Linked DNA regions of Caenorhabditis elegans. The protein of the gene in region 2 purifies or fractionates together with the protein of the main gene of each other region. This does not show direct contact. Each region holds a gene or a part of one and is shown on either strand. Other genes may lie near its edges.

Region 1 (3,489 bases), on a different chromosome or scaffold from region 2:
GTTAGTTTAACAGCATTGAAAACAAATTTCTAAATTTTTATCTTATTTCAGAATGAATGGGGACAAAACGAGTTCATATCGCAGCTTCTTATTAACTCATCACTTCCTAATGCTACTTCGAGTCCACAAGGTGCTTCAACCATATCATCAGCACCAGTGCAGCAGCCATCTACGTCTTCTGTTACTACTGGATTATCTTCTTTGGAACTGAAAGGTTGGATGCCAGCCTCATTTGCACCGTCTGCTCGTGATCCGAATAGATCTCAACCACCCCTGTTTGCAAGATCTCAATCGAATTCTGTTGCTAATAGCACTTCCACGAATATTCAACAGCAACAACAACAGCAAATTCAACACCTTCAACAGCAGCAAGCACTACAACAACAACAGCAAAGGATTCAGCAATTCCAGCAACAATACCAACAGCATCAGTCTCAAAGTTCTCAGCAACCAAGTGACTTGATGTCTTCAAAGTTTTCAATGCTACAATCACAACAACAGCAGCAGCAACTTTACAATCAGATGCAGTCGCTAGGTCAAGATGGACAGGGATCCAATCTGTATAACCATGTAGGGATCCGTGATTTATGTCTGAAAATACGTTATTTGATTTATTTGCAGCTTGCCGCCCAATTATTGACTCATCAAGAGAGTTCTACAGGAGCACCTGGTCCAACAAGTAGTCAACTTGCAAATAGCTACTATCCATCACCTTCGTATACGGATGCCAGTGTTTTAGGGCAAATTAGCATGCCGTCATTGTCACAGAGAGGAATAAAGCAATTTGATGGATTTAATGTAAGTTTAGGACAAATTTGATGTTAAGATAGCAGGATCAGTTTAAAAATTAATGAATGGAAATTTAGAATGACTCTGATGGCGTTATTGCTGCTATTCTCGAGCAACAACAACAACAGAAGAAACAAGGACTCGCACAACAATCGTTCATGCATAACTCTCAACAGCCACAGCCGTTCGGAGCTCCCAGCAACGCTTCTGCAAATCAATCGCGACTCGGAATGATCCAACCTCGGCCCCAACCGCCACCATTTGTTGCTCCACAAGCTCCACCTGGATTCTCTTCTCTTGGAAATGCATCTTCCACGACGAACCCATCTCGAACTTCTATGCAGCAAATGTATCAGCAATACGGACAGAGTTCACAGCAACAGCCTTACGGTCAGATGCCTCAAGCGTAAGTTCTACGATTTCTAATTAAATATTTGTTTATTTATTACAGAATGGATTGGAACCGACTTGGACAGCAACAGCAGTCTGCATCTGGCCAACAAAATCATCAGTCATCCTCGTCAAATAAATGGTCTTCCAACTGGTAGATATCGCTCACAAAATCGTCTTCTTGTCAATTAGTCCCCCCTCCCCTCATAATAATTCGGTGTTTACTTGTTTTTTATTCAACCGTGAAACAATATGTCTTCCCGGTTGAATTGCATCCATTTTTCTTTATTTCGTCTCCTCGTTCCGGGTTTTGTAACACTTTTTCTTCATTTTAAATCTAGCCTTTTTTGGTCCATTTTTTCTTTCAACTCTCAAATGTTCGATCTTTCCCATCCCTAGCAAGTGTTTTCTTGCGAGCTCAGCCTTGTGGAAATTGTACTCTTCTGTCCAAATTATTCCCGTTTACCCATTTTTTGTTCTTTTTATATCTCCCCCGACATACTACTTCTTTTTTTTCGGTTATTTTTCAAGTCTTCCAACACAACACATATGTATTTGAGACGGATGTCAAATGGTCCCAACTTTTTCTTCCCTTTATTGAAAAGTGTGTCTTATTTTTCACTTTTGATGTTTTACTCGTTGTTTCATATGAAACCTGGGCATTTATTTCATTGCTAATTAATTATGACTTTCTTCGCTTTATGTTGATCCATGAATCGTGATTCTTGAAAGTATACAGGTTAGGCTATTGAAATGTACAACTCGAGGTTTTGATTCCTATATCTTGAGAATTAAGTCGGTAGATGTTGAAAGAACAAAAATTTTCAGAAAAATGATTTCATCAAAAATGCTCACAAGACTGAACCGGAGCTTTGTACAAGCAGGTGATACTGGTTCCAGAAATTCTTTCATTTTTTAAAATTTCAGCTCGATCAATGTATATTCAAGTTCAGGAGACACCTAATCCACTTTCTTTAAAATTTTTACCTGGTTAGTGGAAACTTCACTGTTTAAAATCTGAAATGTAGTATTTCAGGTCAACAGCTTCTCCCAGACGCCTCGAAAACATACGATTTCAGCTCAGCGGCTACAGCAAAACAAAGTCCACTTGCTATGTAAGGAATATTCCAAATTTTAACTACCATTCAGATAAAATAGTATTTATTTGTAAATTTTCAGAAAACTTCTTCGAGTCGACGGAGTGAAGCGTGTGTTCTTCGGAGAAGATTTTGTAACTGTCACGAAATCAGATGAGACTGTTGACTGGGCTCTCCTCCGTCCGGAAATCTTCTCAACAATTGCTGATCACATTCAAACCGGAAAACCTGTCATAAATGAAGCTGCAACTGTTTCCGACCAAGTGGAAGAAGATGATGAAGTTGTAATGATGATCAAAGAAATTCTAGAGACACGTATCAGACCAATGGTACAAGAAGATGGTGGAGATATCACTTATGTTGGTTTTGACGATGGTGTTGTCAAATTGAAGATGCAAGGTTCATGCACAGGATGTCCAAGCTCTGGAGTCACTTTAAAAAATGGAATTGAGAATATGCTCACATTCTACGTGCCTGAAGTGAAGGAAGTTATCGAAGTTAAGGATGAATCCGATGATCTTGTGGAACAAGAGTTGAAGAAATTTGAGCAATCAAAAGGAATCAAAGACTAATTGATAATTGATTCGTGTATAACTAGATTTGTTTTTATTAGTGTTTGCTGCTAGAGATAAATGTTCAATGAATATTTATAAAAACTTTTTTATTACTTTGAAAGTCGTATTAGTAGAATTGGTTTATGACTCTGAAATCATCGAATCACGTCAAAGTTCAACGGCCCAGTCCAAATCAGTGATATCAGTTAAAAGACTTATCACCCGGAAAAGTGGAAAATTGTGCTTCGTAAATTGATAAGAAATCAGTCAGAGTGCTGCTCAAAATGTTGAAACAAATTCTTCTCGTCGCTATTATTTTAAATTTAGGAGTATCTGCGTATAAGAAGAAAAGCTTGATTCATGTTAGTTTTTTTTTCAAGTTTTTGAATTTTCAATGTTATCCAGACGCGGAATTTTGCTATTTTTGCGGCTGGTTCGGTTTCTGAACGACATCATTTTAATAAATGCGGAAGGTACGCGCCTTTAAAGTGAACTGTATATCCAAACTTTATTTGCTGCGGTCAATTCTTCATAGTTTTTCGAGAAAAATATGTTTTTTTATTTATTAAACAAACTACATTTTGAAATCAAAATACAAAAATCTTCAGAAAAACATGAGACAACAACTTTTGCATTTATCAAAATTTTATCGTGACGAG
Region 2 (6,618 bases):
TTTGCATTCTGTAACGTATAGCATTTTGTTCAAATTTTGTTAACATTTTTGTTATATGTCCTTTCGCCAAACTTCTTCATTCAATTGCAAATTAATAATATTCCTGAATTTAATACTACAGCTGTTTGTACCTATTTTTATTGAGAAGTTAAATGATATTATTCTTACTAAAATGAGATTTTTAAAAATAATTTTTTGAACAATTTTAGCTAAACAATTTTTATGTGTTTATAAATATTTAAGACAAAAATGTTTTTGAAACCCCATTATTTTCCCGATTTTTTAAAAAATTATTGTCACTGCTTTTTTTATTTTATTGTTTCAATTTAGTACTTCAAATTCTTGCAGAACATGCCAAGAAACTACGCTGACATCATCGGCCGTAACGCTGATCGTCTCATCAAAAAATATGAACACATTCCAACAATCATTTCCGCAGTTACCCTTGTCATTGGAATCTTTGTGTAAGTGCAGTGTGCTCTGTTCTTCTCTTATCATCAGATACACTTTGTTTCTGATTGTTTGAACAATTGAGCTTTAATTAAGAATTAAATGAACTGATAAGCGTTTTTTTTTAAATTTGATTTTTCAGATGTGCTATTCCGGTCATCGTGGATCACATGAAGAGAGCAAACGTTTAGAAGACCAAAAAGGACCGAAAATTATGTATTCTGTACATTTTAATAATGAATATCACATTACAAGTCATATGAGTTGTCTATTTGATAACAACTATCATAATAAATAATCTTTGTTTATAGTTTTGTTGACTGTAAACGATCTCCACAAGAAAATACCATTAAAAATGAAGGCAAAACTATAGAAGCACCGAAAAGTGATGTTATTCCAAGAATAACGAGCATTGTGCCTATCTGAAAATACTTAATGTTAGCATAAAACACGATATTTTAATAGCAAAATAGAACACAGAATTCACACCTGATAAAACGACGCTGTTTGTGAAAAAAGAAGAGGGCATCCAGCAAGAAATAGAGTCAGGGAACCGAAAACACATGCAATACCTGCCGTCGAATGAGCAGAAGTCAGTTTTTCAGATGCTGGTACACACTTCGTGTCACGAATAGCAACTACATAGTGCAAAGTGTAATCAAAACTGAGCCCAATTGTGATTATTAAAATGGTTGACTCAACTACAGACAATTGCCATCCTGAAACTAATATTTTTGAGTACATACTTTTTGAAATCACACTTTTGCATTCTAGCAATCAGTCGTAAAACATATTAGTGCTTTCAAAATTATATACATGCTTGTTCCCTACCTAACAAAATGAGGCTGGCCACGGTCCAAAGTATTACGAAGAATATAATAACGGAAGAAATAATTGAGAGTTTGATAACACGCGTGCAAGCAATAATCACAATGAGACATATTCCCAAAGAAATTGCAACTGAAGTGAAACTCGACGATCTGCAATTTTTCACAATTATTTTTTTTGATCAAAATTAAAAAAAATACCTGAGTTGGGAGACTATGTCGTAAAATCTGGTAATCTCTGTCGAGGAAAGACAAAGGACTGAATCAGATGTAGCATTTTTAATTTGTTTACAGGATTCCTCAATTTCTTGGAAAAAACTCCCAATCATTTCTGTATCAACTTGCAGTTTTTGATTTGATGGGATTGATATAAAATATCTGAAATAGTTTTAGTCACCTCTGGTCATTATTTTTAAAAATTGGGTTTGAACGAAATTCTCGTTATGGATCAAAAAAGATTTAAAAAATTTTTTTTCCCCAATATATTTTTTCAATTCACTTGGAAAATTAATGTTTACTGTGTGCATTCAGTACGAGAGCTAACATGATTTTTGAAATTCGTTTAAAAATCAAAATAATTTCTCACCCAACTACTTTGAGATCCTGATCAATAAAAGGACCATCTCCTGGAATTACCGAAAAATCGTCAGGAAATTGATGAATCAAATTCTTATTTCGAACGGATGCTGATAGAATGCATTCATGGATAATTGTCTGAAATTATTTTCTAAATTTTAAACTTTTGAGCTCGCATTATTACTTTATTCTCCGAGAAACAAGACTCATTAGCTTGTAGTATTTTATCAGCCCATGACACGTGAGTATAGTTAACGAGTTGATACTTTTTTGATTCCAAGTTCACGATTCTTCTATAGAAGTCTAATTTATCTGTGTCAAGGCTGTAGTGCGCCTGTGAAAAGTTTTTCGATGGTTTATTATACGGACTCAGTGTTGAAGTTTCTCTGAAATCAAAAATTTGTATGTAAAACTTATTTTGAATTTTCATACTTTATAGCATCAACTCCAAAAACAAAATTTTTCACTAATCTCGCCGATCTTTGCCATTGAAAATTGAAATGATGAACGTTGTTGTCAAAATACTCGTGAATATTTGAGTCTACAAGAAGCTGAACAATACTTTAAATTAGTCAGCATTTTTTCCATTATACAATTTCTTACTTTAGTCGGATTTGTTTGCGGAGTTTTCAATCCCGGATTCTGAAAAATGATGAAAAGAGACAATCCCGTCATAATTAAACTGCAAATAAAAATTCCAAAGCGGAAATAGTGAGTGGTCTCCGTGATCTTAGAAGCAAAATATGAATGACTTTCAATCTTTTCAGGTTCTTCATCTCCGCGTGAAAGCTTCTTTCTGATTGGACGTGAGAGAATAATTGCTCCGGGTAAAATTAAAACTACCAGAATATAGTTTACAGTAACAGTAAGTGCTGCATATACTCCAAAACATCTGAAAATCATAAGTTTGCCGGCGATACATCGATTTTAAACAAACCTCAAAACAATGACTGGACTTGAAAGATTTGTAAGAAAAGTTGAAGCAGTTGTGAGTGAAGTTACAAACATGGAGACGAGAGAATGATGTAATGATAGACGCAGACTACGAGACAATAGATCAGATTCTCGGTAAAGAGGAATATAAATTGAACCAACTTTATACTCCAAGTGTGACATTCTCTAGAAAATATTATCCTATTGAAATAAAAATTGAAGAAACTTACCTCAACTTCTCTCCTGTAATAGACTAAAAGAAGAAACGCATCATCTGCTCCAATTGATATCAATATCACAACAACCAGAAGATTGATAAATGGAAAGAAATCAATCCCAAGGACTACCTAAATTGATTTTTACAAGCGAAAGTAACATAAAAATTTGAATTTCAATTACAGTATAAATGAAGAAAGCCACACCAGATGATAACGTGACAACCATCAGAATTATACAGGTGAATATTATACTTCTTGAGTAGATCAAAAAACATGAAAATACAAGAAGAGCTGAAAAATTGGGAATTTGTTGATATCGACGCTAAAACTTCAGACCTGAAAATGCAGCAAATAAGCTGTCGGTTTGAATTCTTTCTTGAAACACTTTATTTTTCATGTTCAATGCTATTCCAGCCATTCGTGTATGTGGATTTCTTTCGAGGTGGTCCTTCAATTTATCAATTAAATCATCATAGAAGTCTCTATTCTCAGCTCCATTCCACATTGTTACCTGAATTTTCATAACTTTGAATAAAAAACCAAATGCTATTTCTCACTTTCAACACAACAACAATAATAAAATCTGAAGAATTTCCTTTTGTTAAAAGCCAATTGTTCACTTGGTTAATGGAAAATGCCGAGCAAACTTCATCTGTTGAATTGATCTTGCATTTTTGTAGTAAATATCGAAAATTTAAAATGCTGAAAGATTATTGAAAGCCAAATCTCAAAAATTGTGAGGCTCACTCATTTTCATTTAATGCTTCACAGGAATTTTGAGTAGTCATATTGGGGCAAGTTGTGTAATATGGGATGTTTAAAGAATGTTTTAAAGCTTGGATGGGATTTGTGTAGTTAGATTCAATAATTAAGTTGTCGACAATGGAATCAATTTGACAAAGGTGTTTCATGACGTTCAAACTGAAGAGCTGCAAATGCTATTTGTTGAAAAAATGTAGTTTTTCCAAAATAAACAGCTCACATCATCATAACTAGACACTCGTATCATAATTTTTCCTAGATATTCTATCATATCGTAAGGTAGAGCCTTCCCAATAGCCCCATACATTTCACATGGATCTTCCAAATCGGAGGAGTTAGGTTCAGAATCGACACCGTAATCATCATAATTAACGGTAATTGGGTCAAGCGTGGTTGTTGTATCATTCTTGATATATCTCTTTCGACGCCCAGGATCTTGTCTGAAATTAGTTTTTTTCGTGCTAAAACATTAGGAGGGCTTACTCAAAATACCACCGAAGAATATTTTCATTTGAAGCTTGATGTGGTTTCATCGCTTCTAGTGTCATTCGTGCAGATGATAATGGACTTCCTCGAGTTTCAAATCCCTTAAGAACAGATTTATTGTTCCACTTTTTAAACATTCCTCAATCAAGAATTATGATTTCAATATTCTGTTATACAAATATATGTTGAATTCAGGTTAGAAAATTCTGTTAAGATAATAAGCTTGCTTACTTTTGTCGGATCGAAATCAATTACTTGATAATTGAAAGACAGTGCCCAAGACGTTAAAATCACAGAAATTGTACCAGTTAGAACTATACATATTATCGGATAGTCAATAACAACATGTGCATATCTGAATTTGAGATTTAAGATTAAAAATTAAAATTGAAAAATGAAAAAAAAACAAACTTCATGAAAATTCGTTCCGTGATCCGTGAAACAGTGGACATTTCTTCAAAAAAAAAAGAACTAGGTGACCAAGAGTGAACAAGAATGATAGTGATGGGTGACAATCGAATGTTTGCGCTTTCAACTACGTGCCTCTCATTCACTGAACGATTCGAGAAGAATTCAGAATACAAATATACATGCACATTTACAACGAAACAACTGTTTATTCTATACAGATTCATTCTCGTATATTTTCGATTTTTGATTGATGATTCAACAATTTTAAACAGGAAATCATGAGAGTCTGAGAAACCATTTATGGATGGATATGACAAAATTAACAATCTAAGTTAAATATTTTTTAGCAACTTTTATCCCAATTACTGATTTTAATTGGTATTCCTGCGTCAGTTGCAAAGCAGCCCAAAATTTCAGAAAAAAGCTCCAAAAAGCGGGTAAATGTTTAGTCACAAATTATTCCCGGTATTTAGCCATTAATGATCCTCCATTTTGCATTTATATTAAACTTGCGTACTTGTGTACAAAAAATGTTTATTTGTTCTCCGTCAAAGTATTAGGAATTACTCACTAAAAACAAAACTCATATTTTTCTGCTGTCATTCGAACATTCTTTGTTAACATCTGAACATCAAAGCATTTCTCGTTTAAGATTATGCTAAAGTTTATATAAACGTCATTTGAGACTACGGTAGTGGACGTTCAAGCTCCGCCCTTTTTCGAGAAAAAACAAGCATATAAAATATGTGAATTTTGGAAATGAGTATCGTAGACCCGCTTTTTTAATCCAGTAATTGTTTGCGAAATTTTATTCATTCACGAGTCGTGAAAATGTCGCATTCTAGCTTGATTTCTTGAAATCGAGGTAATGCGGCTTTTTATAGTTTGATGCAACGAATTTTTTGACACTACAAAATTATTATACAATTACCCAATTATTAAAAAAAAAAGTATAAGAACACGTTTACTACATGTAGTCAGTAAAACTAAAAATTTTTGATTCTTTCAGATGCGAATTCCATTTTATACTGTTTCTGCGGAATACCTAGGTTTTTTCGTAGCATTTATTACTAATGTTACATTAATCTACTTAATCATAACAAGAACTCGACAGAACTTTGGTTCATACAAGTACTTAATGCTATGGTTCGCTGCATTTTCACTTTGGTACTCCATAATTGATATTCTAACTCAACCAGCAATGCATTCATATCTCAATAGTTTTATTGTATTTTGTGCAAGTTGGTTTAAGTATGATCCCCTATTGGCTTCAATAATTATCCGTAAGATTTTTTAAATATGTATTCATACTAAAAATAAATGGATTCAGCAACTTACTGCACTTCATACGGACTAACACTGGTCCTGCTTGCCATTCATTTCGTCTATCGATATATTGCGATGATCCATCCAAACGAAATTCGTTGGTTCAAATATCCACGTGCACTGGTTTGGCCTCTAATTTTCATAATTCTCGCAGTATTTTGGTGGTGTAATGTATTTTTCTTATTGAGTAGTAATCCAACATTCAATTTTTACTTGAAAGATACAATTCGTGAGAACTATGAAGAAAACATTGAACGTCTTTCTTACATTGGTCCATTGTATTTTGTGAGAACTTGAAGCATTTGAATTTGTTTAAAGAGGGTTTTTCAGATTGTCGGATCTCAAGGCGAAATTCAAATTCAATGGAAAAGTTGTTTGGCAATGACCAATGTATATTGCATTGCAGTGAGTAAATCAAATAAATCAAATGCTACCATGTCTGAAATAAAAACTTCAAACTAAAAACATTCAGATAACTACTCTTGTTACAATAATGTCTCTGGGCTATTCTATATATATAAAGATGCAGTCAGTTAACGACATGGTAGCAGAAAAGACACGAGCACTTCAAAGGCAACTGTTCCATGCACTTGTACTTCAGGTAACCTTTGAAACTTTCAAGATGAGGA

The links.
Region 1: the proteins of ptd-2 (region 2) and nfu-1 fractionate together in Caenorhabditis elegans (co-fractionation; one large-scale study listed by BioGRID). This does not show direct contact.

Annotation. Positions count from the first base shown.
Region 1 is NC_003282.8:10,385,406-10,388,894, forward strand, and holds nfu-1 (NFU1 iron-sulfur cluster scaffold homolog, mitochondrial), read left to right. Parts: upstream 1-2,007; 5' UTR 2,008-2,011; coding exon 2,012-2,063; intron 2,064-2,106; coding exon 2,107-2,169; intron 2,170-2,215; coding exon 2,216-2,294; intron 2,295-2,358; coding exon 2,359-2,848; 3' UTR 2,849-2,946; downstream 2,947-3,489. Other genes in the region: Ankyrin repeat and KH domain-containing protein mask-1, read left to right, coding at 52-570, 622-798, 867-1,195, 1,241-1,337; R10H10.3 (CUB domain-containing protein), read left to right, coding at 3,115-3,192.
Region 2 is NC_003283.11:9,248,361-9,254,978, reverse strand, and holds ptd-2 (SSD domain-containing protein), read right to left. Parts: upstream 4,748-6,618; 5' UTR 4,705-4,747; coding exon 4,664-4,704; intron 4,608-4,663; coding exon 4,484-4,607; intron 4,354-4,483; coding exon 4,250-4,353; intron 4,207-4,249; coding exon 3,987-4,206; intron 3,934-3,986; coding exon 3,752-3,933; intron 3,707-3,751; coding exon 3,562-3,706; intron 3,516-3,561; coding exon 3,341-3,515; intron 3,296-3,340; coding exon 3,186-3,295; intron 3,134-3,185; coding exon 3,017-3,133; intron 2,973-3,016; coding exon 2,791-2,972; intron 2,746-2,790; coding exon 2,457-2,745; intron 2,405-2,456; coding exon 2,286-2,404; intron 2,240-2,285; coding exon 2,038-2,239; intron 1,992-2,037; coding exon 1,864-1,991; intron 1,656-1,863; coding exon 1,479-1,655; intron 1,431-1,478; coding exon 1,282-1,430; intron 1,170-1,281; coding exon 940-1,169; intron 873-939; coding exon 756-872; 3' UTR 651-755; downstream 1-650. Other genes in the region: F07C3.9 (T2SSF domain-containing protein), read left to right, coding at 352-464, 593-641; str-94 (Seven TM Receptor), read left to right, coding at 5,673-5,946, 5,994-6,112, 6,320-6,394, 6,462-6,590.